Linked DNA regions of Oreochromis niloticus. The protein of the gene in region 4 interacts with the protein of the main gene of each other region in a biochemical or structural test. Links are inferred from orthologs where the notes say so. Each region holds a gene or a part of one and is shown on either strand. Other genes may lie near its edges.

Region 1 (7,064 bases), on a different chromosome or scaffold from region 4:
GATCAATACCTTTTTTGCTGCATCTCATGTCCCAGACCATAATATTTCCATCTCTGGCTCCAGTGGAAAACACAGCTGTGTGACAAAAGAAAATGTATTAATCACATGATACAACAATATATCATCAATGCACAACCAACACGGTGTTAGCTCAGTAAAAGGTATACCTTTCTCCTCTGGTGCAAATGCAACAGACTTAAGACTGCAGAGGTGGCCCTTGAAGCTGCCTAACAACTCTCCAGACTTCACATCCCAGAGCCTGGCCATCTGGTCACCCGCAGCAGTTACCTGAAGAGATCACAGATGACCAAAGCATAATAAGAAAAGGCTTCAGAGTTTTTAATGAGTTCCAACAAAATAAAGAACAAAAAGAAAAATTAGTAAGGTAGATGGAATTACATGAGTCATGCATTTGAGGGTGACGCATAAAGATCTGACTTTCTGCAATTCTCTGACTAAACAGAATAAATTTGCACTTACTAACTGAGCCTCCCCTGGCATCCAGGCGATATCAAAGACAGCATTCTCATGAGCCAGCCATGCTGCAAGGTTCACACACATTTAGCCACCGACATTTCAAAATACATGACATGACAATTATGAACACAAGTCAAAAGAATACCTTTAAGAAGTGGATATTTACGGCTCTCTGTGTTGTAGAACCTAACAATGCCTTCTTCATTAGCTACTGCGAGGATGTTCTGCTGGTCCCTGGCTGAAAACAAACAGCAGAAACGAGACACTGCAGTTAGACAGATTAATGATAACAGGTCCTTGCACTCACAATGATAAGCACAAATGAATTACCAGAGGAGAAAGCTAATCCAAACGGTGGCACAGAGTCGCCAAAGTTCCCATAGGAGATATGTTCATCATGTCGGACACATCGGTAGCCTTCAAGCAGGGAGCTCAGAGGGTACCTGGACCAGGGATCTGCAGGGAGAGCTGAAGAGAATGATGCATGGTCAGAGGAGGGAAATCAATGAGACACAGCAGTAAAACTAACGGAAAAATCATTGCAGATTTAAGTGGACAATCATCAAACTGCTTTGAGCTGATATTAAGGCAACTGTAACTCAAATAACCACTTGTTACAATTAAGATATGCAGAAGAGCATCTCTGAGCATGCAACACATTGAACCTTGGAGTCATTGCAGAAGAAGACTACACCAGCTGCCGCTCCTGTAGGCCAAGAACAGGATCCTGAGGCTGCTATTCACACTGGATCAACAAAATTGGACAACAGAACACTGGAAAAACATTGTCTAGTCTGAAAAGTCTCGATTTCTGCGGTGATGTTTGGATAATAAGTTCAGAATTTGATGTAAACAGCATGAAAGCATGGATCCATCCTGCCTTGTATCGACAGTTCAGGCTGCTGGTGGTGTAATGACGTGGGGGGTATTTTCTTGGCACACTGAGTATCATGTTGTTGTTGCTGACCATCTTTTATGAACACGGTGTACCGATCTTCTAATGCAGGGGTGTCAAACATACAGCCCAGGGGCCACAACCGGCCCGTGTAAAAATGTCAAAGAATGCCTAAATGTGGATTTTCGGTTTGTACTTGTGAACCGATCACGCCACGAGAGTCCAAACTGACGGTCCAGAGATTTGACTCATTGTCATTTTTACAGCCTTCTTAGTAACAAACAAATCACCCCTGACCTGCTATACTATACCAAAATAAGCACTAGACACCATTAAAAATAAAATAAATGAATAGAAAACAGAAAATTAGCTGGGTTTTCATTATAAACGAATCAATGGGCAAGTTCCTATTTTATTTAACAGGAAAAAATAGGATGTATTCTTTGAATTACCAGAAGATTTTGAGGTTTTTTTCTTTTGGGACCATTTACTATAATCACCTGTATGTGTAATGAATTTAGACTGGTAACAGTGAGGCTCATATTTTATATACATATCCTTAAAATTTTCATAATATACTCAAACATCTTCCCACTTTCCATTAGTCTGGTAGTCTGCAGCAGCTTGGCCTACTTCAATTTTATCTATACGTGACCTTTTACTACGTGACACCCTTGTCTAATGGCTGTAATGGCTGCTTTCAGCAGGATAACACCATGTCACGGAGCTCACTTCCTCTCAGACTGGTTTCTTGAACATGACGATGAGCACACTGTACTCAAATGGCCTCCACAGACGCCAGATCTCAAGCCATTGGGATGTGGTAAAACAGGACATTGCATCGTTGACGTACAGTCGACAAATATGCAGAAACCGTGTGATGCCATCACGTCAATATGGATCAAAATATCTGAGGGACGCTTCAACCAACTTGTTGAATCTACGCATGGAAGACAAAAGAGGGTCCAACCCAGTGCTAGCCAGGTGTACCTAATAAAGTGACCTACGATCATAGATCGGCACGCTCATCTTCTCACTTGCTCTTGAGTTGTATAAACCAAAGCCAATCAAAATGTGAGAAACTGTCCTGATATGTACTACAGGTATAAGGCAGGACATATTGTTGATCTACCACCCGTTGGAGTCTGAACAGCCCGACAAAGACATTCACGAAGAAAGTAGAGTTAAACGTTAAAGTCCACACTGAACGCAAAAGAAAAGCAAGTGCAAATGATACTCTAGGAGCCCTCCTGGCAGCATGACTCCTCCAAATATAAAGCAGAGATGTTAGACTGCATTATCTTCCATGGTAGACTAGCTAAAGCCCAGCCATGGCCGTGCAGATAACCCAGATCTCCCCAAAAACCCATCCCTGTCTCACCATTCTGCCTCCGTCTGCCCACTCCTCTGTCCACCACTGAGCGGAAAAGCATCCCTGCACTGCAGCACAACTCGATCCTAAGGCTTTTGTATAAAAACGTAACGTTTTCCTCGATGTTTAGCTACTGGTGGTCCGCTTTCCCTACCGATGCCGGGACACTGTTTCCCGCGAATAGATCGTCCGAGCAGAAGGACTGAATTCCCCGCTAAACTTGCGTTACGCGCAACCATTGGTGGAAACGGCGACTTCCTGGGCAGGAGCGCTTCTGCTTCCGCTTTCTTTGTAAAGTTTCCCACCATAACTGGAGAAGGAGACGCCCCTTCAGCATAAATAAATATTTTTTAAAACGATTAAACTAATAACTAGCCCCTCTTTGCATAGTATGTTTATCCTGTTAGACAGTTGTTAGTTTAGTAAATACACTTTGTTGTATACAACCACTGCCAAACAAATGCTGCATGTATATGGTGCATTTAGTGGTGCAAGTATGTGTGACAACACACAATTTCAGGTTGTGCGCAGTGTTGAACTAGAAAATGAATATCTGTGACTGCAACAAAAGTTATGAAAATCACAAGTAAAAATGTTCTTTTCAACAGAAGCACTAAAGTAACAAAGGTTTAAAAGTCACCATGACTATGATATCTCCAATGTAACTGTTGTTATTTAGAGTATTATGGTGTTACCGATTCATCCATAATCTATCATTTGATGCTAAGGTGATACTAGAATAATATACTAATACATATTTCACGTAGATATTTAACGTAAATCTATTTTATAAATAGTCCCTAAAACAGCTTGGTAGCTCGCGACCATGACAACTGGCGTTTTATTGTGAAAGTCAATCTCCAGACCGGATGTTCTGTCTCTGTATCCTCAGTGTTTTCCTGAATACCGCCTGAACAGTGAAATGCTAATATCTCATGAGTGTATCTTCTTTTAAGGGGTAAAAACTGCACAGTAATGTCGCTCTCCACCGCACGCTCATTCCTGTCAGAGGCTTGTTATGGCGAACAGGAGCTCGACGCTAACTCCGCTCTCATGGAGCTGGACAAAGGTGTGTTAGCTCGCTGGCTAAAGACTTAGCATATGGTTCATTGATTGTGTTCTGATCCGGTGTGTCGTTTCCTCGTAATGTGTTAAGTGGAAGCTTCCTGCTTTGTTGTGACTGGAGCATTTCCACTTTATTTTCAGGGTTGCGGTCGGGGAAGCTCGGTGAGCAGTGTGAGGCTGTGGTTTTGTTCCCCAAACTCTTCCAGAAGTACCCATTTCCCATCCTCATCAACTCTGCATTTTTAAAACTAGCAGACATCTTCAGGCTCGGGTATGATTGCTTTAGATGATCATTTATTTGTTAAAGGCTACTTTACTGACAGTTGTTTCACACTTTCTTTATAGCTGAATCTAATACAGGCATCCCAATGCATTTCAGAGTGTAGAGAAAATTTTAATAACATCTCTAAGTAATTGAGCGTACAGTTTAACCACAAGCCTAAGCCGTCAAAAGAAAATGTAAACACTATTCGCACACTCATGTAGTTCACATAATCACTCCCAAGCTAATGCAAAAATAAAATAAACAAACTCTGAAACACCAAAAAATAACAGATAATAGATTTTCTTCTTATATTTAATGAATAATTGCGTGTCTTTGATGTCTCTAATGAACTTGATGTTTATCAATCTTTAAAAGTACAAGATACTTTAAACTAAGCATACCCAGTAAACTGATCATTGAGGGCAGGCCTGTTAATGTGTTATTGTGTTGTGTTTGAACTGTAGTGAGATATTCAGGGAGTATCTGTGTATTTTATTTTACTTTAGAAAATAAAAAAAAAATTAAGAAAAGTATGAATAGATGTAAGTACAGAGGGAAAAATGTTGGTGTGAGAAAGGTTTTAAAAATAAAAAAACTATAATTATTCTTCATGAAAAAAAAGAAAGGGAAAAAGTTGACGGAAAAGAGAGAGAGAAGGTTCCAAATAAGAGGATTTGGGGAAAAAGTGAATTTATTTCACTTTAAGAAAGAATAAGAACTATTCTTACTTAAGTGGATTTTTCAAACTTTAATTTTATTCAAAAGTGCCTAAATAAATAAATGTGCGCATCTTATGCACTTTTTAATAGAATGTTTTTGAAGTTGGTAAGATGTATTTAGAAGGTGCGAGAAGTTAAAGATGAGCTTTACTGTGCCACAAACATCTTATTTCTCTTTTCCAGTAACAACTTTCTGCGTCTCTGTGTACTCAAAGTGACTCAACAGAGTGAGAAACATTTGGAGAAGATTCTCAATGTGGATGAGTTTGTGAAACGGGTGTTTTCAGTCATCCACAGTAATGACCCTGTGGCCAGAGCCATCACTCTGAGGTAACAATGTGAAATGATGATTAAAAACGCGAGTGGCGCATCTGACCCTATCCCTAGCACACTCTTCTGTCAACCCTCTGCATGTCCTCCTTCACTACATCTACAAACCTCCTTTGTGGCCTTCTTGCCTGGCTTTGGCATCTTTTGTGCAGTGTATCCAGTGTCATTCCTCTGCACATGTCCAAAACATCTCAGCCTTGCCTCTCTAACTTTTACTCCAATATGCCCAACCTGAGCTGTCCCTTCTTTCCTATCCTGTGCATTCTCTGTAAGAATCGTAACATCTTCATCATACATGTTAGCAGATCTCACTAACATCTTGCAAAACTTCTGCTTCACTCTTGCTGTTATCCTTCTGTCACAAATCACCCCAATACTAGTCTCCATCCACTCCACCCTGTCTGCACTATCTTCTTCAGTTTTGTTGTGCACCATCTTTTCAGTCATCTCAGATTTTTAAAAAGAAAATTCCTGCTGTCTTATGTGTTCAGGATGCTTGGTAGTTTGGCCTCCATCATCCCAGAGAGGAAGAATGCCCACCACACTATTCGCCAAAGCCTGGACTCTCATGACAATGTGGAAGTCGAGGCAGCCATCTTTGCTGCTGCAAGCTTCTCTGCACAGTCAAAGTAAGGAAACAATGACTAAAAGTGAGCTCTGATGTATGGGATGATGTTTTAGATGATTTTATTGTTGTGTGGCTTTTTAATTAATTTTTATTTTTTATTTTCAGAGACTTTGCAGCTGGAATTTGCAACAAAGTTAGTGAGATGATTCAAGGTAAGATCTTTATTCTTTACGTGAAGATAAACGAGAGCTGTCGTGGTTCAAAGCTTCATTGTCACTGATGTCTTTTATTTTTAATTGTCACACTAAACTGAGTACAGCCATTAAAATTATTCTTTTTTTCATTCTGAAATCACGGAGAAAAAGAAACACAAAACACTGCAAATACACATTTTGCTGAACCCAAAGAAAACATTTGTCACGTGCACTGCATCTTTTACATAATGTTTGTATTGGTCTTTTCTTCCACCTCAGGTTTAGACACTCCTGTGGAACTGAAGCTGAAGTTGATCCCCATGCTGCAGCACATGCATCATGACGCCAGCCTGGCGTCCAGCAGCAGAGAGCTTTTACAGCATCTGGTGAACTCTTATCCTTCCACCCCCATGGTCATTGTCTCCCTGCATACTTTCACCCAGCTGGCCGCCTCTTCCCTCATAGATATCCCCAAGCAGGTAGACCCAACTTGCTCGCACACAGCTATGTGTCATTTCTTTTAGTTTGTTGTGGTGCACCTCTGATTTGGTTCCTAATCTGTTTGCAGCTGCAGCTCCTCCTTCAGTACCTAAAAGATGATCCGAGAAAAGCTGTGAAGAGACTTGCAGTTAACGATTTAAAGCTCCTGGCTAAAAAGGCTCCTCACCTGTGGATAAGAGAAAACACTCAGGTAGAGCCCCAGATGGCAACAGTTGCACTGTAGGGTTGTTGTGATGTTTAAAATCGGTCTGCAATCTAACAGCTTTTATCTCTGCAGATGCTGTGCGAGTGTGCTTTGACTATCCCCTACAACAGTTTGAAGCTGGGGATGTTGGCCGTTCTCTCCACCCTCTCTGGAACTATTGCAATCAAACAGTATTTTAGTAATGTGGGAGGTAATGTTTATGCTTAAATCACTGCATTTAGGAAACAAAGAATGCCACTCTGAACTGATCTGCATTCTCTAAAACTTTTCTTCTCAGGTGGCTCTTTGGTTCCACCCCGGCTCACTGACCTGGTTAAATTGGCACAGGAATGCTGTTACCACAGCAACCTGGCAGTAGCAGCTCACGGGGTCATAGTGCTCACCAACATTGCCATTTCCTGTCCGGAGAAAGGTTAGTTAAACTGGGCAATAACCTATTTGGGGGATGCTTTTAATTCTTAATCAGTGTGGTA
Region 2 (7,166 bases), on a different chromosome or scaffold from region 4:
ATCAAAGAAAACAGGAAATGAATACTAAAACACTGGAACATTAACAAAACACCAAACATAAACCACGACTCAAATAGATAAACTTAGCATCTAAGATATGAAGTCAAGATCCTATCAGGAAATCCCAGAGGCATGACAATGACGACTGAGACCAGGAAAGGGTCACAATTATACAGCAATACCTCAGAACTTCCAAACCCTTATATAAAAATCATTAAAAATAAGCTAAACATTAAAAACTAAACACTATGAAGTTTAAAGTGTGAAGAGGTGAACAAGAAGTCCTTGACTATAATTTTGAAGAAGTGGCTGGGAAGTGCAGGTTTTGGAAAATTATATTACACAATGGAGTCTCGGTGATGTAATATACATTACTACTCCACAGACTAAAGCCTCATCTCTTCTGCTGAAGTTGTAACACTGAAATAGGAACACTGTCTGTATTGCATAGATTAGATCTGCACCTGCCCATACCTGTATTCACACAGAACCTGCAAAAACAAGGTGGAGTTTAAAAACCTCACCTTTCTCTTTGCATCATATCTTTTCAATCAGCAAACCACACCCTTTAAAATTCCTTTGTCATAAAAGGTGGTTTTCTCCCCCAGCCACCAGTGAGAACAAAGTCCATATTAACCGTGGAAATTATTCATTATTGTTTGAGTAATTCCTGTATTTATTACGTCAAAGACATTGAGCATGCCTGCATTGGGCAGTTATTTCCCTGTAGCAAATAAATCAGTTGAACAGTTTTAAATGTGCACGCCACGTCAGATCAACCAACACGATCGCTTCTAGTGCAGTTTTTTAATCCCGACTGAATCAAGTTTAACCCTCTTGGGTACAACATTGATCATAAAGGAGAATGAAAACCCACTAAAATGTATTAAATTGCACAAAAAATATGCAACCTTTCAATGGAAAAATGAACACCCACCTACATCTGCTGGGATAATGAGCTAGAGAGAGACACAGTCTCAAGGGTACACCTTGAGGTTGTTTTTTTTTAAGATGGCAGATGTTTTTCTAACATTTTGGAAATGAAAGTGATCAGGTTCTTCTTCCTTTGTATGAAGGCATTTTAGAAGAAGTTTTAACCAGAGCCATCGGAAAACACCACCATTGTTATTATTATTTTATATTTTTTCATGCAAACTTAGATTACTCCTATATAATACATGATTTTATTTACCTACAGTATAAAAGAAAATAAAGATTTCAAATAAGGTAACATAGACTTAATTCTTGGCTTGACTTACATGTGTTTGAACCCTTAAAGAACCCTTTCAAACCAGATAAATTATATTTTAAACTTGAGTTTGTCAGCTTGGAGGAAAAGTGAAGGTAAATTTGAAAAACAAGCATAATTACCCATGTAGCAGTAAGGTCTTCTTAAATGCAGGATCATCAGATTATGGAACCACAAATCATTGATAGAGTCTAACTTTTCCTTTTTTCATTAACTGGACAAATACAGAGAGAGCTGCACCTTACTGGAAAATCAAAAATAAGGTAAAACTTTGCATAGGTGCATTATAAAAAACACTCCTGATCTAATAGGGTCTGGCGAGAGCTTAAATGCAATAAATGATATGCAAAAGGAATATGTATGTTCTCACATTATGAGAGTAAATCTTGGGAGTTTCCATTTTCTATATGGGTACTTCAGTTTCCTCCCACAAAAACATCCTTACTGGGTTAAATGGTAATTCTAAATCGGTTGTAAGGGTGGTTTTGTGTCTCTCCATGTCAGTCTTGGGATGTAATGGTGACCTGTCCTGGGTTTTAACCTTGCTCCAACCCCCCTACCCGCTTCCAGAGCTTTCAAGATAATGTTTGAATCAATTTAGTTATTATACTGTTTGATACTTAAACACTGAGTGGCTGTTCTGCAAAGTTAAACAACTGTGAGGCCACTGTTGGTGTAACTACTATAACAGGTGCCCTCTGCACATCTGAGGCAAACAGCACCATTTCACCAGTGACAAATAAGGATGTGAAACTTCTATAATTTTCTGTGTCACAAACAACTTCTTTCCTACTGAGAACTGAGCTGAAAGTGGAAAGATTCCTGGCATTAGAGAGACTTTTTATTTTTTTATCAAATGACAACTCCTCCAGTGTTATTTTTTTTAATGTTATTAAAAAGGAACATGTCTATAATTACTTCACAAATGATTGACACTTTTCAGTATTTGCTCTGTTTGGTCACTGCAAACAGGAATCTGCTTCGGTCTCCACAATTCTTTTTACAATACTTAACACTTATATTTATGGGTAGATACATTTTTTTTAAATACAACTTTATTTGAAAATGTTTTATTTCAGAAAACACAGAGAAAGTGGAGCGTTATCCCTCCACACTTCCTGTTTATATTGGAAAAGAAAATGCAGAGCAAGTGAAAACAAACAACCACAACCTCAGCAGTTGCTCCACTTAAGTGGAATTTAAAAAAAACCCAAACTCTATTACAGTGATTACAAGCTAAATTTTGGTGTGTATGTTTAAGAAAATTTGGAAAAGGGAAGCCTTACAAGCTAAAAACTACATGAGTGTTAAAGGCCAATTTTAACTAATATTTTTGTCATTTATTTCCCTTTTCTGTCAAGGAAACATGGAACTCTTAAGTCAAAATGCTTTAAATTTTTTTAAGCTCTCATACATTTAACCAACTTAAATTGATGTGGAACAGCCACATGTGGAACAGAGAGCAAAATAAGGATCCTGAACTTTAAATCTGTGATTCTGCAACAATATAAATGGACTAGAAGTTTAACATTTTGGGGTGGAAAAACTTTTAAAATCCTATTTGGGAGCAAAGCAGACAAACTTTTTAAGTGTTTTTATCTGATTTGACTGGCGGTTCCAGTGACATCAATTCAATTTAGTTAATGCTAAAGATAGAGGCCCAAATAAGTCAAGATGGGTACTAAGTGTCCAAGCTTGCATCTAGAAGGAAAATTGATTAATATCCACCACTAATATGGCAAATGCATGTTATTATCAGTTAACAAAGTCAGTATGACCAGATGCTACAATACTGGTGCATCCATACTATATTAAGTGGTTTTAATGTATAAAACCATCATATTTTGCCAGACACTCATTATCTTCTGAATATTTCAGCATAAAAAACAGTTAATTTGAATGTGTTTTGTCCCCTAGCACCACTTTTTTCCACTGTGGTAATTCCTGCTGTAGTGAATCCAGATAAAGACAGGAAACCAAAGCATTCTGCCTGAGGCTTTTTGCCTGTTACATGTGTAATATACAGAAAATTCAATGAATTTGGGAATGATGAGGAATGATGTTTAAAACACTTCAGGTTGTTTGTCGTCAGCTTTGTAACCGGATCTCTCATCCAATTAGAAAATTAATTTGAAGAGAATTAAATCCCTTTGATGGGGATAGCTGTTTTTAAGAAAGTCTTGGATATGGCTTGGATGAAGTTTATCAGAACATACTTCTTTACACTTAAATTAAGGGATTTTTTATTTATTTATTTTTATTTTTTTTATTTTTTGTTAGATGAAAAAAAAATAACTTGACGCTCCTGATCTGGAGTTAATGAAGGAGAGAAAAAATCTGTGGGCGGGGGAAAAACAGTGAAGACGGGACAGTGACCGTAAGTCATACGCTTTTTTTCTGTGATGACGCACTACTACCCACTTTAAGTGAGAACAAACCACAACCACTTTACACAGTTTCACTAACTTAAACAGTTTTTATTTAGGACGGGGCTTTAGTTCTGCTCCAAATTTACTTATTGCTTTTCATCATATTATATTATATTATATTATATTATATTATATTATATTATAATACGAATTTAGCCTTTTGCATGAATTATTTTTCTTTTTACTATTTTTCTGTTCTGTACTTTTGGCCTTACGTATTTAAAGACCACACCACATATCTTACATTGTTTATTTGAGGCGTTTTCTTACATGTTTACAGTCTTTCAGATTTGAACCACAGCTGGGGGACACAGGAGAAAGACCCTGTAAAGAGGAAGGAACGCTGAAGTGGATCACTCATACAAGTTTTCTGAAGCTGAAACTACAGCCAGTGCAGTCCGGATTCTTATTGGACGAATTATTTGAGTCTTTGCCTGATTGGCTACTACTGTGAGCAGCAAGCGAATGCATTGGCCCAGTGAACTACTCCTCCTGCAGTCAGCCCCCGTGTCGTAGCTGTCCTCTCCTCTCAGCACAATCTTTGGCATATATTACGTACGTGTAAGGATACACTACATTCGTGAAAAAATGGCAGCTGACGAATAGAAAAAAAGTGGATCTTCAGTCGAAAAAAGAAGGCACTTGTAAGTTAATACTTCAGAATGAATGATTTGGAGTTTGGGGAAATTATCCGTGGAAGCTTCTCAATCCTGCCTACGTGCGATTCTCTCCGATAATGTGGAAGTAACTGTTCTCAGAGGGTTAACGCTAAGGTTAGCCAACCTAGTTATTAGCCAGCAGCGGTAGCTAGCATACAAGCAGTTCCAGTTGTCAACATTGGGCCTAGACTATTACCTGAAACCGTTAATGTTACGCAACAGAGAGCAGAGATGCATCATATATCATATATAAATCATATATGCAACAGTTTAAAACTCGGCGTTATGATAAATTAATTAAATTATACCTTCCTGCCTCGATATGTAGCCTCGCTAGCTGTTACAATCCAAGTTAACATTAGAAGGATGGTGGGTGAGGCGACATAACCAGCTGATTTGAGAGTAAAAATGAGAAAATTTACTTCTGGCTGTTGGTAATTATGAGGTTATAAATGTAGGTATTGTGAATAATAACCTCTTGGGTCGATGTAACGTTAATTTAGCTCATAGGCGGGGCGTTATTAGCGTCATTATAATAGGCATTCAGCGTGGCTAATATTACCTTAATGACTGAGACCGTGTTTCTACTGTAAACTTGAGGGGAGGGCACGCAGTTTTTATTTGCTGACCTAGAACAGCTGTTGTGCTTTCTTTATACCAAACTCACTAACTTACGGGACTCCTGGTGTTGGAGTTAGTTACATTTTACAGATGTTTTGGAAATGAAAATGTGGGAATGTACACAAAGTTGCAGACTGTGTCGTATGGGCTGTCCCACCACAGGCCCGGTTGTAGCTGAACCTCATGAAAAAAACCCACCCTGTACGAGGCTTCCTGTCTCCGTGGGAGTGACCCATTACTGGAAAACCACAATACTACGCGAAAGAGGTTCTGATGGTTTTTTACTTTACGAAAAAAGGTTGACTTCCTTTTTGCTAACCACAGTATCCTTTGTCTACCTTCATACTTTTACTATGTGGGCTATTTTTAGGGGCATCTCCACTATTCCTTTAAAACTATAAGCTCATGCCTGACCTCCTCAGAATCAAGTTTTTTTTAGCATATTAAATGCAAAATGTCAGTTGAGCTGATTAGTAACTTAAGGTCTGCTGATGTGAGGCCCTATTCAGATGCTGGCATCTCCTCTCTGTCTGAGATGACTGTAGATGTAAACAATTGTAAATGATCTCACATAAAAAGGAGCATAATGAACTAAAAGCTAATATTTAGAAGTTTAATTTGTTCCAACCCATAAGCAGCAGCTGCTATGATTATTTCAGCAGGCTGAGGAACAGCTGGAATTAACATCTGCACATTAGTTCTCTAAAAGAATAACACAGGGCATGGTTAATATAGACAGAGACAGACTCTCGAAACCTCAGAACAAAAGCCGTTCAGCCTTTTATTGTGTCAGTTCACAAATACTGTTACAGTCAGTGCCCACAGAGTAGCTGCAGTAAAAAAAAGATAAAGATAATTAAAGTTAATATGCACTGAAAGAAAAGGTCTCACCCTCCAGTCTGTCTCAACCTTAAAGGTGCACATATCATGGAATATTATTAATAACTGCTCAGTACTATTACACATATTGTACTTAACAGGTAATACTCGCTTTCAGTTCCCTACAGCCAGTTGGAAATTATGCAAATGAGGGAAAATCTCTGATGGATCAAGCAGAAGTAACAACTATTTATCGATACGCTAATCGTGTAACTAAGAGAGTGAGAGGGAACATCACAGCACCAAAAAAGGCTGCTGCAACAAACCTGAGCTGCACAGAAATTGAGATTGGATGGTAGAGATTTAAGAAAGCGTTACGTGAAATATGTGCCATGTGGGCTCTACCTGTTGCCTTGCCCTGATTTCATGGCTGAATACCTTCACTCACTCCAACATGGATCTGTCACTTCATGTTGATAATGGTGGCGTTACCGCTTCGAGGATCAGGAGGATTCATGTTTGTTTTTTTTGTTTTTCTTTCATTCTGCTGTAAGGGATGTACCAATCAAGATTTTCATTTTCTGATATCACTACCATAGATGTGGGTATCTGCTGACACCAAATACCTATCTGATACCCGTGATCAATAAATAACCTGCAACCCTGACACTGAGGAAGACTGGGACCATTCCCAAACAGTAAAAACCTGACCCCCAAACTGCTGACCGTTCTTCCATGCTGTGTTAGCTTCTTCTCGACGAAGAAGATGTCATATTTGCCAGATATTCAGTCCAGATACTAGATTGGTGCATTGTTTATTTTCTCTATTCGTTTTTTTTAGAGGTCTGCAGGCAGTCGTCTGCATTGCTTAAATACCCATAATACTTCACTCTCTGTAGCCAAATACCTGCACAAATAGATTTAGAAGGAGTGTAATAAATCAGGCTTTAGTTGTCCATCCCAGTTTCTCATTTGCTAAATTGCACATCTTTTATTCCTCTCTTTGAGTCTTATGCTACGTGCCATTTGAAGTGGGAAGTTGGAATTCCGAAATTCACAATCGGAATTTTCAGCTCAAACACTCCCTCGAGTGGGATGTTCTGGTTTGGACAATTTGCCTTGTTGTTATCTCAATATTTTTAAGGCGTTTCTGTCTTGTTTCTGTTCCAAATAATCAATTTTTGTGTTTTCAGGACAAACTTTCAGAGAATACGGAAACAAGTCGGGTGATCATCTGGCACCTTGTTCAACACCATAAAAGTGCCACATTGGTCATCTGTCATCATGGGGAAAACGCCGCTAAAAGGCAAGGACCTCTTATTTGTTTGAGGAAGCTGGTACTTGTGCTTATACAAAATGTAAAAAACAGGGTTTTTTTTCATAATGTGA
Region 3 (7,774 bases), on a different chromosome or scaffold from region 4:
TTCTTTTCTGTGTTTGTTTATTGTTGTTTTGATCTTGATTATGTTTCCTAGTTTAGTTTTCTTTGTTTCTGGTTTTGATTATGTTTTATCTCGACTGATTAAGGTTTATTTTAGGTTGTTTAGCGTTTCCCTTTATCATGTCCTGAGTGTTTTGTCTCTATGTTATGGATCTCCTTCTCTGTCCTTGTCTGACTCTGTGTTTCGTCTCCCTTACCTGTTCTTCTCTTTGTGTTTCATCCTTGACTCCTCAGCCTCTCGTGTGTTCCTGTGTTTGCTTATCCCCGTCCTAGTGTCAAGTTTGTGAAACTTCCTGTTTTATTTTGTTAATCCTTTTCTCATGTGAATTATGTCCAGTTTACTTCCCCTGCCTTTTTACATCTAATTTGTTCCTGCTCGGGTCCCATGTGTTTCCACTCCCCTTGTCACCCCTCAGCGTATTTATTTTCTCTGTCTTCCTTTGTTGGAGCGTCTGTTAACCTACCCATGTGTCTCTATGTCCCATGTGTTTAGTTGGATTTCTTATTTTGTGTTTTGTCAATCAGCCTGAATAAGCAGTTTGTCTTTTGTTCAAGTTACTTCCTGCTTCCATTGTCTGCATTTGTGTTCTCACTCTCTGCTCCACACCATCTGCTGCTGCAGATCTTGACATAAACTCAGATCTGCTACATGTGTCTCGGTTTGTTTAGCTAGACATCTGCTCTTTACCACTGAATCACAAACCTATCAACAGGACAGGGATCAAACACATAGAAAGATATCAATCTGAGGGAATATGCAAATATAGTTATACAATTGTATCACTTAGATAACAATGATAATTTAAATTAAAATGCTATGTCTGGGGAGCACATGTGAAGACAATAGAAATGGAACCACTATTGTAGCTTCAGGAATTTCATCATATGAAAAAGTTGCAGCAGTTGGATGTTACTTTCTGAATCAGGATAAGGTTTTGGCAAGAAATAACTACTTAGAAAAACCTGTCAGTTTGGAATATTCTTAAGTATGCATCAAAATTATTAACCAAACCAAGATATTGTCCAGTCTCAGAGTGTGGAACCGTGCTCACTAGACTATGTAATTTTTTGCATAATAGTTAGGGATAGTTGCTGCTGCCCAAACTTGATCCAATGTATTGTCTGCTGTAAGTTAGGGTCACAAAATTACATTCTTTTAAAAACATACTTATCTTGTATTAAAAAAATACACAGAGACTTTTTTTTTTGTAACTGAGGGCTTTTATTTTGAACATTTCACATTTTTAAAGCATACTAGTCTTCCAATAAGAAAGTTTTATTTTGAAAATCTGACACACCTTGTCCCTCCTGTCAGTCATTGTCAGGGTCTGGGACTGTTACCTTAGTGCACAACTGCGTGTATGTGTGAGAACGAGGGAGAAAGGTCAATAGTTATAAATAACAGCGTACGCACATATGACCTGAGGTGGAATTACATCATTTTTTCCAAACTATAAATATTTGTGCTTCCCATACTTATATATCCATACTCAAAATCACAGACAGCCTCTGAGACACTGTTAGATGGATAAATCAGTGCGCCCCAGGGCAGCTGTGGCTACAATGTAGCTTGCCATCACCAGTGTGTGAATGTGTGTGAGAACGGGTGAATGACTGAATGTAGTGTGAAGCGCTTTGGGGTCCTTAGGGACTAAGTAAAGCGCTATACAAGTACAGGCCATTTACCATTTACCATAAATAACTTTAAATAGGTTGAAATGTGTGTGTGGAACAGACTGAAATGGAGGCAAATGACATGTTGCGGCGACCCCTAAAGGGAGAAGTCGAAAGAAGGGGATTAGTGGGAGACATGTATATATTTGAGCCTGTATGGTTTAGAGAATATCCAGAATATTTCTGAAGAGCGTGTGAGAGAGTAGATTAGGCAAACATTCGGGATGGACTTCCAGCTGGCACACCAAACAGGATTCACTACGAAGAATGAGCGGTAAGCAGGTAAGCACTGGTCATCTGGTAAAAAGCTGCGGGAGTCCTTCATCTGACATGAAGAAAAGGAAACTTTATAGCTGTTCCATCCACCAACATCTGTTTTACTCAGAGAAAAACCTCCAGTAAGTCTCAAAAAGTTGTATTAAAATATGCAGATGAACTATTAACTTAGTCTGATACTATGTTTAAATTATACAGCTTGATCATGGCTGACAGCAGCTGTCCTATTTTACATGGAAGGGAACAGGGGTGATAGTAAAGAAGGGCATGATGTATACTAGACCATATTAATTTCAAGGCTTTCATAACAATTTTTAGATTGAAAGTGAAATAATATAAATTGCATTAATATTTAAAATATAAAAATAAAAGCTCTTGTACAAGCAAAAAAATAAATAAAACACACATGGGGCAATAAAACACTTGGCCACTGACCTGATGGTTGTTAGGTTGGACACTGAATTATTGTTAATATTAATTAACGTCAATCAACGTTGCGATTTGGTGCCATTTAAATTAAATTTAATTGAATGGAAAAAAGCCAACTTTGTTTACATAAGTATATCATATAAGATCAGTCGCTGAAAATTTTAATAGTGTTGAATATCAACACTTTAAAATGGCACAATTCTGACCTCTTGAGCTACAATGAATGTTACATAATATCAAATAAACTGGTTCGAACATGCTCACTCTTGAGTCATTAAACACGGAAAACCTATAACTGAATAAAAGATGCTTTCTACAGTCATGTTTTGGTCCAATATTGCTGGTGAAGCCTCCTGAAACTCTCTGGTGTTATAGGAGTTATTCAAATTCAAAATAATTTACTTCTTCAGAAAGAACTTAAAATAATATTTGTTTGAATGCATTAATCTGATTTAGTGTCAGAGGCTCATCAGTTCATAAACTTCATCCATACTAAAGCAAATAAATAAATAATAAAGGAACACGTTGAAAACACCTTAGATCTCAATGAGAAAAAAATCATGCTGCCTCTACATCTATACTGATGTGGATGTAATGTGTTAGGAACCAAAAAATACCACACGGTTTGATGGCAATGAAAATGATTAACCTACAAAGTGCTGAATTCAAAGACACCCTGAAAAGTATAGTAAAAAAATGATCTTACTTAGGAACGTTCCTAGCTACTAATTTCTTACTCAACTAATTGAGAAATTACACTAACCGACTAGTCTAAAAGTAAGAAACACTCAGATATTTAGTTAAATTTGAGAATCGTTTCGATAAAAGTTAAAATCTAAAACCACAAAACAATAAATCATCTAGCCATTTTCTTCCCCTTATCTGAAGTCAGTCGTGGGGACAGCAGGGAAGCCCTCCCTTTTGCCACCTCCTCCAAGCTTATCCGGGAACACATCCAGCCTTTCCCAGATCAGCCTATAGATATGATCTCTCCAGGGTGTCCCGGTTCAGCACCGGGGCCTCCTCCCAGTAGGACATGTCTGGCCAGAAAACCTTATCCATTCGGGAAAAGCCTTAGCCGTTTCCTTTTGATGTGGAAGAATAGTGGCTCTATTCTGAACCCTGTCACTAAGGGAAAGCCCACCTTTAGGAGAAAGCTATTTTCTGCCATTTGTATCTGCAGTGTCATTCTAATAGCAAAAAGATCAGGGCTATATTAAGTTATGTATGGTGTTTCTCAACAACCGTCTGGTGGCAAATGGCTGCATAACATTTAGGACAACAACTAGTAAGTTTGGTACCAACTAGTGACAATAGCGCGATTAGTCGACTAGTCGCACACATCCCTAATCTTACTTCATACGTCTTTTGACCCAGTTGGTAACACAAGTGCTTCCCTGCTTTATTAAAGCACGACTAAGGAAAAAGACCTGCTAATAATCAGGACCTATTACCTACTGCCTTAAAAATACAATTTTTCTTCTTCTTTCATTTATAACAGCAGCTTGCATCCAACGATGTTGTACTACTGCCATCTCCTGGGTTTTACTGCTACATCACTTCCATACCCTTAGATCCTGTTGATGGCTGTGTCCCAATCCGGCGACCGCACGCTTCGGAGTACGCGCAGTTCGCGTACTATGAGTCCAGTATTTCTCAAAAAACAAAGTCTTTCCTTTCCCTTCATCATGACTCAACTGATCAACCACCATTTCAAACTTGGGTTCGGTAGTACTACCCATTTCTACCCTCAACATTCTCCTTTGACTGACATACTTCCTGCAGCTAAAAAGCACATGTTCAATCGTTTCCAGAGCATTACACCGATTACATAAACCAGTAAGATGTTTCCGCATCCTAAAAAGAGTGCCATCTAGAAAACAATGACCTCTTCTTATTCTACGTATAATTATAATTACCTCCTCCTGCCTACTTACACCTCTATTTCTTGTAACGTGAACTGTTTTGTACTTTATATAAATGTCTCCCTTTTACTTCATTACCCCGCGCCATTTCCCATAAATTCTTACTTTCTTTCCAAACGTTTCCCTTCAGAATTCGACAACGGTATCTGCATATCAATATCTACTTTTTTAATAGCTTCTTTGGCCAACCTATCTGCTCTTTCATTACCCACAATACCTATATGAGCGGGAGTCCACATTATTACTATATTTTTGCTTTGTTCACACACAAAATCTACGATTTTTCAATACTTAACAATGCTAACAATGAATCACTATTATTACTTTTGAAATTATGTCTTCCACCCGTTCTAAAGCCAATAATATGGCACATAACTCTACTGCATATATACTCAAAAAACTGCCACCTGGCGAAATCCCTAATGCGTATGACGTAACGCGATGTACGTGCAGGCACGTCCGTGACGTAACGAAAAGAGGGCGCCCCAGTGTTGGCGGCGAATTTAAAGAGTCTCGGTTGGAGGGCTGCGATCCAAACAGTCTTGCACTTTTTGTGTAGGATCGCACTTGTTTCGAGTTGAAGGAAATGCCAGGCGACAGGTATCGTTCTCAGTGGTTCTTACATTCTGTTACTAAAAATATTTGAGGTATAGCGGTGCATAAGTTATCTCTGAGATGTGTTGCACATGTGAAAATGAGCCGCCATCCCAAGGCTAGCTTGGTGCTGTTTAACTGTCCCAACTCAAAACTGTGCTTTCCATTTCTAAAGCGGTGTGAACAAGGCGGAATTATGCGAAATTGTGTGTTCGGTAAACCGCCGGCGTCTTAGCGTAGTTAGTGTAAACTGTACCGATAGCGCGCTTTCTCCCCAGCGCTTTCCCTCCACGCCTGTCAGCGGCTCTTTTCTTCCCGGGGTACACACTGTAAGCTAACCGCGGAGCAGGAGTGGACGTCCTGGACCACCTGCATGTGTCTGTGTACTGAAAGACAGGAGACAGTGTTTGTCGTTTGGTTTTGCAGTCAGTTTGCGCGGTCACACCGCTGGTAGCTACATCAATATGGCGGGCATGGAGGGGTTCTTTAGAGGAAGCTAGGCCGCTAAGTAGCCTTTCTGTGGGGTGTTCGTGTAAGACAGCATGATGAAGCCTTGTTTAACCATGCCCACATGTCTGATTAACTTCTGCTTCCAACAGTGTCCCACTGCAGGATCGTCCCTGCCTTAGTCTGCAGGACTCCATGCTGACTCAGCCCAAGAAAAGCAACAAATGCAAGTCCAGAGGCATTCTCAGCGAGGGCCTGGACACTGAGTGGACCCCAACAGATCTCATCCTGCAGTTCACACCACCGCGCAAGAAACAGCGGCTCTTCAGCAAGGGGAAGGAGAATGACAGCAATCAATTTGTTCTTGGCAGGAGATCAAGGAGGAAAGACCCCTCACCAAGTAGGAGGAGATGGTTTTCTGAGGTTTAAGATGAGGACTTTCACCTGTGATCAACTTAACTTTTTTTCCCCCTTTCTCCTTCCCTCTGCAGACATTTCATGGGATCAACTACCAGACGAGGTTGTTCTTAGGATTTTCTTCTGCCTCCCTCTCCAGGACCTCGTCAGAATATCTGTAGTTTGCAAGCGCTGGCAACGTTTGGCGTGAGTCATAATGATCATTAACAAAATCTCTGGCCCTGCTTCTTCCCGCTTGAAATTTTTTTTTTTTTAAGTGCGGGGCGGATCCTAAAGATTGAGTTTGCATACTTCAAACCACTCCTCTGGTTCTTTCTCACATCTGTGTGTTTAAACTCGTGACACTTATCAGAGTATTCAAAAATATGGAAATCTGTGGCTACATTCAAAAGTATTAAATTCTGACAAACTGGTAGATAGACGAGTTTGTGCTGCTTAATATTCTCAATGACACACACAATGGAAACCCACATTCACATTTAACAGAACGGGTTGCTGTGTGCAGGTTATTTACTGCAGGCTTCTGTAGGGGTTTGCCTCCATGACACCTCTTTGCTTGTCCATTCATCACAGGTTTGACGAGTCTCTGTGGCACAGTGTGGATCTAGAGGGGATGACCCACACTGGTCTGGCTCTGCAGCAGGTGCTGAGGACTGGCATCCGCAGACTGCGCTGCCCTCGCTCCTTTGTGGAAGAGTTGCACTTGACATACAGAGGGTTAGTCACATATATCATGGTGTGTCCTGATTTTCTTCTTCACTGGAAGACTTACTCTGAGTTTTCCTTGCCTGTGAAAATCTAATGAAAACTATCTAATGTCTAATGTTTAATTCTCCTCCACACCACAGAGCTCTATTAAGTATTAAGTTCTGTGGCACTTATTAAGTGGAAAAAAAATGCTCTTTTCTTTCTTTTCCATTATCCAGCTCTTTGCAGGTGGTTCAAATGGATCTGTCAAACTCAGTCATACCCACGTTGGCTCTGGAAGACCTCATCTGTCGCTGCAGACTGCTAGAATGTCTGAGCCTGGAGGGTCTGCAGCTCTCTGACACCATCATCAGGTGAGATCTGAACTATTTGCTACTGATTAGTGTAGCAGGGATGTCACTGATTCCCAGTGTCTTTGCAGCTGCTTTTCTCTTCTCAAAAAGATGTCTGAGCTTTTCATGACCTCAGATGCTGAGGGAAACATGTCAGTGATGCTGTTTGTAGCAGAGCCTCATCAGAGGTGGAAAAGTCGTGCTGTAACTGTTGATTGTAAACTGGCAAAGCACTAAATTCTTCTCAGTAAATGCATTTTCTGAATCTGTTTCAGCTTAAATCTGTACTGTGTGTTTGGAGCTCATGTTTGGGTGTATTTGTTAATCTCTTTTTCTCTCTCACTCAGCTGTCTGGCAAAGAACACCCGCCTACAGGAGCTCAACCTCAGCGGCTGCTCCGCCTTCTCTGCTCCTGCGCTCGCTAGGATGCTGAAATCCTGTTCCCGGTCAGCTGCTCAGTCCTTTATTCACTTTGTAACCACAGTTTCAGTTTCTCCTCTTCCTCAGATTTACTCATGCTCTGATTTTGTGTTTCAGTATACAACAGCTGAACTTATCATGGTGCACCTTTGATAATAATCACATAAAGAGCGTCGTTGATAATCTGAGTTCTAGTGTTACACATCTCAACCTCAGCGGTTACAGAGAGAGCCTCACCCTAAATGGTGAGTGGTGGAGATCTTCAAGTCACTGATTTCAACACTAACAAACACAGCTGGTTTGTCCTTAATGATGTAACACATAACAAATTGCATAATGATACAGTAATTTATGATTCACTTGACAGCTTGAAGAGTAACACTGAGGGTGCGTACTGCTGAAGTGAAATTAGTTTGTGAAAACTGTATATGGATAGATCGATCTAGATATAGATCTATATCTTAAAGATTGTTTGAGTTGATCATTCTGACAGTGTCTGACGTGTGTCTGTGTCATTTCTCATTTTTAGATGTGA
Region 4 (7,312 bases):
ACCTTAAGGAGCTCAGTTAATTAATAAACTTAAATCAACTTAGCTAACAGATTATGTTAGTTAAGCTAAAATAGATTCCTAAGTTAAAAGAACTACTAAAGTATTTGAATTAACTAAAAAACCCAAGTCAACTGAACTAGGACAAGAGTTTAAACAATAGATTATTTTAATTTAGCTGAAAGGGTTTTCCCAAGTAAAGATGACAATTAAAGGAGTTGAACTGACTAATAAATCTCAGTCAACTAAACTAAGATGAAAGTTTAGACAACATGTGATTTTTCATTAAGATAACAATTGGTTGTGTTATAAGAACAAACTCTATTTCTTGACTTAACTTAAAATTTTAAGGCAGCCCTTTACCTCATATTTTTAAGTTGAAACAACAAGTTATATTTTACAGTGTATGTATAGTTTATTACTGTCTTGTCACTGCTGCTAGTATAAGATTGGGTTTATTCTGTAAAACTTGAAGATATTTTATAAAATAATTCTGTTATTCTTTTTAGTTTATTATGTCAAAGTAAGTTGCACTCATGGGCCACTTCTTTAGTTACATTAGTTGCCTTAAATTTCCAATAAGCTGACTGATTTTGGTCCATATAGAAAACAAAACCAGATACATGGGTAGATTTGCAAATCCATTATGCAAATGTCCCGTTTCACCACATCCAATGGTGCTCTATTGGGCTGAGATCTGGTGACTGTGGACACATTGGAGTACAGTTGTTCAAGAAACTAGTTTGAGATGATTTGAGCTTTGTGACATGGTGCATTGGTCAGCAGCAATACTCAGGTAGGATGTGGTGTTTAAGTGATGCTCAGTTGGAACTAAGGGACCTAAAGTGTGTGAAGAATATATCCCTCCACATTATTACACCATCGACAGCAGCCTGAAGTGTTGATACAAAGCTGGAGCGTGGATCTATCCATTCTTTCATGTTGCTTACAAAAAATCCTGAACATACAACCTGAATGTGGCAGCAGGAATCGAGACTCATCAGACCAGTTTTTTAGTGTCCAGTTTTTATGACTCCATACCAATTTAAGCCTATGTTTCCTCCTTTTGGCTGACAAGAGTGGTACCCTGTGTGGCCTTCTGGTGCTCTTCCTCCCCTCACCTTCAACCGGTTACAGCAGATGGTTGTCCCTCCCTCAGCCTGCTTCTGTCAGAGGTTTCTTCCTGTTAAAGGGGAGTTTTTCCTTCCCAGAAGCACTTGCTCATGAGGGGGTGGGGGTGTCCTCTAACTGATGGGGTTTTCTCATATTACTGTAGGGGTTTTACCTTACAATGTAAAGTGCCTTGAGGTGATTGTTGTTGTTATTTGACACCGTGTAAAGAAACAATTTTAACTGAACTGAGTTGAATAACTTGAGTATAACGTGTGGTTATGTGAGTTTATGTTGCCTTCCTATCAGCTCGAAGCAGTCTGTCCATCCTCCTCTGACATCAACAAGGCATTTTCACCCAGAGAACTGCTGCTTGCTGGGTATTTTCTCTTTTCTGGACAATATTGCAAACCCTGGAGATGTTTGTGTGGGAAAATCCCAGCACAGCAGCACTTTCTGAAATGCACAGACCAGCCCATCTGGCACCAAATTCCCTTAAATCACTTTTCTTCCCCGTTCTTATGCTTACTTTAAACGTTACCAGGTAATCTTCACCGTGTCTACACATCTAAAGTTGCCGCCATATGATTGGCATATTAGATATTGACGTTAACAGGCTGTTGAACATGTGTACCTAATGAAGAGGCCGGTGAATGCTGTCATATATAGAAGTGGTCGATACATATAGTGAGTTTTTTGGGGAGGGGGGGGCTACCACAGGAAGGATATATTTAAATTGGATACAGGTACAAAGAGCGCATGAGTGAAATTACCCAGTGTAGTTCCATTTACTGTTTACGAGTTTCTCCACTTTTACTTCTACTTTCTCCTTCGCTGCTCTCTGCTCTGTGATGCCAACAGAAACCGAAACGTCGCGTGAGCTGTTTTAGAAATGGGAGGAAGCAAACGAGATGTGTCATTGTGATGTATCCTGGAAACGGGACAAGTACAAACGCCGAAGCGCTCTGTCATGCGCACTGAGAAGCAGGGAGAGACGGGGAGGGGAGGCTGAGCTGGGCTGTGTCCTCCTGAGCTGGAATTTCCTCTCGTCTTCGACCCGAGCCAAGCTTCACGTGTGCTCATGTGTTTACCGGGCCAAATCCACGTGTGCGAGTCCCCCGAGTCTCCGCCTCTGGAATGGAAAGGAGGGTACCCGTCCACCGGAGCTCATAAAAGTTTAGCAGGAGTCCGTGTCTGTAAGAAATCTTAGGAGAAAGTGTCACGGAGAAGTATTTTCCTGTGAATCTGTTGGGTTACATAGCATCAGCCTCGTCCGTTTATTTACATCAGAGCTGCTGTGAAGACTGGAAATCAGAAAAACAGCGAGAGAAGGTGGATAACAGTCAGTTTTCCCCCAGCAAGTTTGAAAAAAGGAAGATTTTTTGTCTTTGAATTAAAATGTAAGTAAAACTAAAAGTTTGAATTTTTGCGCTTTGGTGGTTTCACTTGTGATTGGCCTGTTAGTGTATACAAGTCTAAAAAAACATCGCTGTTTACATTATATGGCTAAACAACCTGTAATGTTATAGGAGCTACTTTTAGTTTCAGTCCTACCTATATGCTTTATCTTTTTTTAATTTTCATTATTTATTTATATATTTGTTCGTTTAATCCCATAAATTACACGTTTCCATGACTACCTCCGTCCCCGTGCTGTTGTTGGGTTTATGTCTTTTAGCTGGTTTCAGTGTATCAACTCAAAACTTTACCAAAGCTTCCCGCACGGTTGTTTTTAGGTGTGTGTGGTTGTGGTTCGTTGGTGTGCAGAGGTGGTGGTGGTGGTGGTAAGGGCTCCAGACAGTGACAGCGCAGTTTGGCCGGCCAGCACGAGCTGCAGCCTCACGTGGACCTGTGTAGTAAACTGGGCAGGGTCCGAGCCGGTTCCAGCGCCGCCCGTGCATGACTCGTTCTCCCGCCACTCGCTTGAATCACTCCGCCCTCTCCTCTCACGCCGCGTCATACGCGTGACTGAGTGGATGGAAATGGGAGGGTGTGAGGAGGATAGTGGCTACAAGCTGTGTGTCCACCCTCTCCCAAAGTGTTTCAGTGTTTCTGATGTTTTACTTCATTCTGGATGAATTGGATTTATTTTGGGCTCCCCAGTTCTTCCCAGTGTAAGGACCCCCACCCACCCCTCCCTGACCTTTGTGCTTGCAGGTCCACAGTTATGTAACAGTGGGTGGGAAGGGGAAACAGTCTGTGCCACTCTGTAGGATCCACCCTGCCTCAGTGGCATTTTTCAGCAGGTGAGGTTAATATAGTAGTAATGTAGTAGTAAAGTGCAGGATTTGGATTTATCCAGCCATTAGTGCTGTGCTATCTTGTATTGATCCACTATCACCGATACCAATACTTTAAACCTATAAAGGGGAGAACAGTGTGTCTTGATTTGTAAGGTGAATCGTCATCTGTTTAAATGTGTGCAAATTCTGAACACATTTTAACTTTCAGCTTTTTATGTGTTCTTAAATTGTGTGTGTTTGTTTGTTTTTTGAGAACTGGGATATATATCTAAAGCAGTTTGAGTCAGCTTCTGTTATTTAAATGTGCCATAGGTTATAAATAAAATACACAAAAAAGGTTCAGACATTTTTATCGCCCGTAGTATCGATGCAGTACCAATACCAACTTTGGTATCCATCCTATTGATATTTCAATCAATCTGTCACTTTGCATTACTTAATTTATGTAATATTATCAAGAGACCTTTCAGTTTTTCTCTCGTTATTCCATCTGAAAGCCAAAGCTGAGCGGGGACATCAGTGAAACCAGGAGCAATAGCCTGGCCCTTCACATCAGTAATAAACTACTGGGCACAAAGACACAAGCGCATTCCTATCAGATGAAAAACTATATATGAGCCTGATCTTTGGGCAATGTGTGTTAAAGTTTTGCTGTTGTTGTTTTGTCTCCAAGATTTCGTTGAGCTTAGAATGAATGAACTGCAAACCTTGGACAGTCGCCACATTTGTGGGATGATGTAACAGGCCATGTTTTAACAAGATTTCCAGCCAAGTCATTTTAAGGACTGTGTTTATTGTAAAGCTTTGTTGAAAAAACTGGACTTAAGGTGCCAGTGAACAGTTACCAGGTTGTGTTGATGGATTTGCTTCTCTGCCTTATCTGGATTTCTCTTCATCGTCATTATTTTCATCATTTCTATAAAAACTCAAATCAGAGTGACCTCTCCCCCTCCTGCTGTTCTCAGCTGGATAATCATGATGGGAACCGCTTCTCATGATTGTTCCCTGAAAAGAAAATCCTGGGAATTCTGCCCAGTCCTTCCCGGATGGCCTTAATGACATCCACCTGAGACACACCTGATTCCTTCCTGTAGCCTTCGCAGTAAAGTGTTTGCTGTTTGTATGTAAGTCCCGTCCAGATCAGCAGATGTGGAAATAGGATTCATAAGTCACCGCCTCGGATTTTTACTCTGCAGGGGGCCTGATACTGCCACCTGGTGGTGATTCTCGGTGTTTGCGCTCTCGGTCGCTACTTAGGACTTGTCCTTACATGTCTGGTTGAGATTATGCCCTGGCATGTACCAGTGATTCAGAGAGAGGGAGGAGCGCTCAGTGAGTCACTGCCTTAGTATAAAAAGCTGCCCAGCGAGACCAGTGTGTTAGTTCACTGAGGAGCTTTACGCTGGTTTGAAAGATGGTAAGACAGATTTTTACTTTCATACTCGAGGCAGTATCAAGTAACTGAGATGGATGCACTTGTAATGGATTACAGAGCTCATTTTGCTTGGTTTAGAATAAGACTGGAGCTGAGGTTCCTCTCCTCCAGAGAAGTCACTGCATGTTTTACTTGTGCAACATTTCATCAGCACTGAGTGTCCGGGAGGATTCGTCTAATCGCTGGAGATGCTTAATTAATGGAGACAAAATTAACTTTCAAATATGCCATGTCTGGTTTATTATTGTTGCTACTTTTTAAAGCAAAATGCCAATCAGTGTTACTGTAACCAGAGATCTTCTCTCTGTTTTCATCAGTGTAGAGTGATGGCTTCTCACAAGCGAATCTTGGGGGTACTGAGAAAAAGACCAGCCCGGAGAAACCTGTTTGGGCCTGTGGACCGAGAGCAGCTACAGGTGGAGTACCAGGCCGCCATGCGTAACGACCTGGAGGAGGCTTCAAAGCGGTGGGGCTTTGACTTTAGCTTGGACAAGCCTCTGGAGAGCAGCGATTTCCAATGGGAGGGTGTCCCGAGCACTAGGGTGCCTCTGCTCTACAGGTCCTGTATGCAGGGTCTCGGACAGGCTGAAGGCCACAGGTCAGCAGAGACAGTTACTCCCAAGAGAGGAAGGGTGGAGACGGCACAGAGCGAGAAGGAGAACATCCCCGGTATGCCGGAGAACTGCATGCACGGCCGGGAGATGCTGGAGAAAACACCGGAGAAGGGCGAGAACACCGGGCTGAAGAGGAAGCAGACGAACATCACAGGTACGTGTTCCAGCTGAAAGCGAGAAGTCTCGTCATTTCACGTGAGAGTGCACGAGCTTAAAATTCCTGCACTTTATCCCAACAGATTTCTACCAGGCTAAAAGAAGAGTAGTGTGGATGCCCCGCAAATCCGGCGAGTGATATTCGGTGGAGAAACGCCAATATTCCAAGAGAACCACCCAGACAGGGCCACGCTCAGGAATCACACGTCCCGCACAGACTCTGGCCGTGCACCCAGGAGGGACCTCAACCACACGTCAATACAAAACAGTTAATTAGGGTACTGCAGTCACTCTGAGGAGATTGGTGTTTTTTTCCCTCAGTGGCAAGAATGCGACATTTGAGCAGAGAAGATTAACAGTAATCTCTGGAATCAGTGGATTTACACTCATTTGGGGGGGGGGATGCCAAAGTGTTGCCCGACTGCACATTCAGCCGCACTGAAAGGACAGTCACATCCGCTGGAGATGTGTCCATTAAAATCATCCAGTCTGATCATGTTTTTAAGGTGAGAAGACAAAGCTCTTTGGCTCCATAGTTCAAATCCATGATTGTTTTTCTACAGCATTTTTTCTACATGTGTATCACAAGGGCTTACCAGTCATCTTCTTTTTTTTACTGTCTAAAGTATGTCATACTTTTTATGTCCAGCTGTACACAGTGCTTTTATCGACAACCATTTAATCAAAGGAAGATGCTTGAAGAGTTCTGACATCTCAAACATGCAGTTGCTTTGCTTAGATTATAAAAGACAGAAGTGCCATCATGTCCTCTTCCATCCTTTTCCATCTACTTTACATCAGCTGATTTTTGATGTCCTTTGACAGCCCGATCCAGACTCTGATACTGATAATGTTGGCTAGGAACACTAAAACACTTTTATTTAGTTATATATGTATAAGAGGTATATCTATAAAGTTAAATATGGTATTGTCAGGTAGCATAATCATTTAAACTGCAGTGTTGCACATAAACACCCAGTATCAAGTGCCTTTACTGGCATTTGTTTTTGGTATTTAAAGCTCCTTCATCAAAAGCAAATGTATTATTTAGTAAGCTAAAATGACACATTTATTATTTTCTATTCACCGTGCAATCTAACTAATGATGTGTTTTGTTTTTGGTTTTTTTGCCTTAATTTGTTCTTTTTTTCCCCCTCTTGGCACTTATTTATGTCTACATTAGCAAATTCTGCTGCTATGGGTAATATGAATGGGTGTCGAGCGACGTCGCTGTGACGCTAACCCTCACCAACAGAGAGCTTTGAAATGCTCCGAAGCCGAGAAAATAAGCGAATGACCCCAAACAATGATTGCACTTCTGTTTGTAGATGCTTTCCTCTGTATTGTGTTTTGTTCAAGGCTGCAAGTGAAAATCTCTGTACTTATTTATTGTGAGATACGATGTCATGTGTTAATTTAGGTTTTGTTTAATTATTATGAAATCCAATAAAATGGTCAAATGAACCGCCTTGTGTCTTTAATGTGTCGTCACTTTACTTTTAAGTAGCAACGGTAAAACTATTACTTAGTTTGGCTGAACCCTTGCAGTGTTGTATCACAGTACAATTTCTCCATTAACGCCATTATACAATCACTAGCCACTTTATTAGGTACACCTCGCTAGCACCAGGTTGGATCTCTTTTTGTCTTCAGAAGTGCCTTAACTCTTTTTGCACAGATTGAACAGGGTGCTGGAAACAAACCTCAGAGGTTTTGGTCCATGTTGACATGAAAGCATCACACAGTTGGTGCAGATT

What was found.
Region 1: of the proteins of cdkn1a (region 4) and dtl, one has a biochemical effect on the other in vitro, tested with the Homo sapiens proteins (3 studies listed by BioGRID, with this or other methods). The link is inferred for Oreochromis niloticus from reciprocal best matches to the Homo sapiens genes CDKN1A and DTL.
Region 2: the proteins of cdkn1a (region 4) and sex comb on midleg-like protein 2 form a complex in vitro, tested with the Homo sapiens proteins (2 studies listed by BioGRID and IntAct). The link is inferred for Oreochromis niloticus from reciprocal best matches to the Homo sapiens genes CDKN1A and SCML2.
Region 3: of the proteins of cdkn1a (region 4) and skp2, one has a biochemical effect on the other in vitro, tested with the Homo sapiens proteins (3 studies listed by BioGRID). The link is inferred for Oreochromis niloticus from reciprocal best matches to the Homo sapiens genes CDKN1A and SKP2.

The regions. Positions count from the first base shown.
Region 1 is NC_031980.2:13,633,546-13,640,609, reverse strand, and holds the start of dtl (denticleless protein homolog), read right to left. Parts: upstream 3,023-7,064; 5' UTR 2,806-3,022; coding exon 2,754-2,805; intron 946-2,753; coding exon 808-945; intron 716-807; coding exon 623-715; intron 543-622; coding exon 481-542; intron 289-480; coding exon 168-288; intron 76-167; coding exon 10-75; intron 1-9. Other genes in the region: ints7 (integrator complex subunit 7), read left to right, coding at 3,720-3,813, 3,951-4,080, 4,977-5,123, 5,615-5,752, 5,857-5,903, 6,165-6,364, 6,454-6,576, 6,664-6,781 and 1 more. UniProt on the Homo sapiens protein: Substrate-specific adapter of a DCX (DDB1-CUL4-X-box) E3 ubiquitin-protein ligase complex required for cell cycle control, DNA damage response and translesion DNA synthesis.
Region 2 is NC_031986.2:36,477,356-36,484,521, forward strand, and holds the start of sex comb on midleg-like protein 2, read left to right. Parts: upstream 1-4,165; 5' UTR 4,166-4,322; intron 4,323-4,349; exon of another isoform or gene 4,350-4,451; intron 4,452-5,120; exon of another isoform or gene 5,121-5,225; intron 5,226-6,970; 5' UTR 6,971-7,061; coding exon 7,062-7,083; intron 7,084-7,166. UniProt on the Homo sapiens protein: Putative Polycomb group (PcG) protein. PcG proteins act by forming multiprotein complexes, which are required to maintain the transcriptionally repressive state of homeotic genes throughout development.
Region 3 is NC_031972.2:8,165,838-8,173,611, reverse strand, and holds the start of skp2 (S-phase kinase-associated protein 2), read left to right. Parts: upstream 1-4,755; 5' UTR 4,756-4,907; coding exon 4,908-4,921; intron 4,922-5,514; coding exon 5,515-5,762; intron 5,763-5,853; coding exon 5,854-5,965; intron 5,966-6,352; coding exon 6,353-6,496; intron 6,497-6,705; coding exon 6,706-6,840; intron 6,841-7,166; coding exon 7,167-7,265; intron 7,266-7,356; coding exon 7,357-7,484; intron 7,485-7,768; coding exon 7,769-7,774. UniProt on the Homo sapiens protein: Substrate recognition component of a SCF (SKP1-CUL1-F-box protein) E3 ubiquitin-protein ligase complex which mediates the ubiquitination and subsequent proteasomal degradation of target proteins involved in cell cycle progression, signal transduction and transcription.
Region 4 is NC_031970.2:21,861,591-21,868,902, reverse strand, and holds cdkn1a (cyclin-dependent kinase inhibitor 1), read left to right. Parts: upstream 1-4,622; 5' UTR 4,623-4,764; coding exon 4,765-4,767; intron 4,768-5,102; coding exon 5,103-5,553; intron 5,554-5,638; coding exon 5,639-5,694; 3' UTR 5,695-6,809; downstream 6,810-7,312. UniProt on the Homo sapiens protein: Plays an important role in controlling cell cycle progression and DNA damage-induced G2 arrest. Involved in p53/TP53 mediated inhibition of cellular proliferation in response to DNA damage.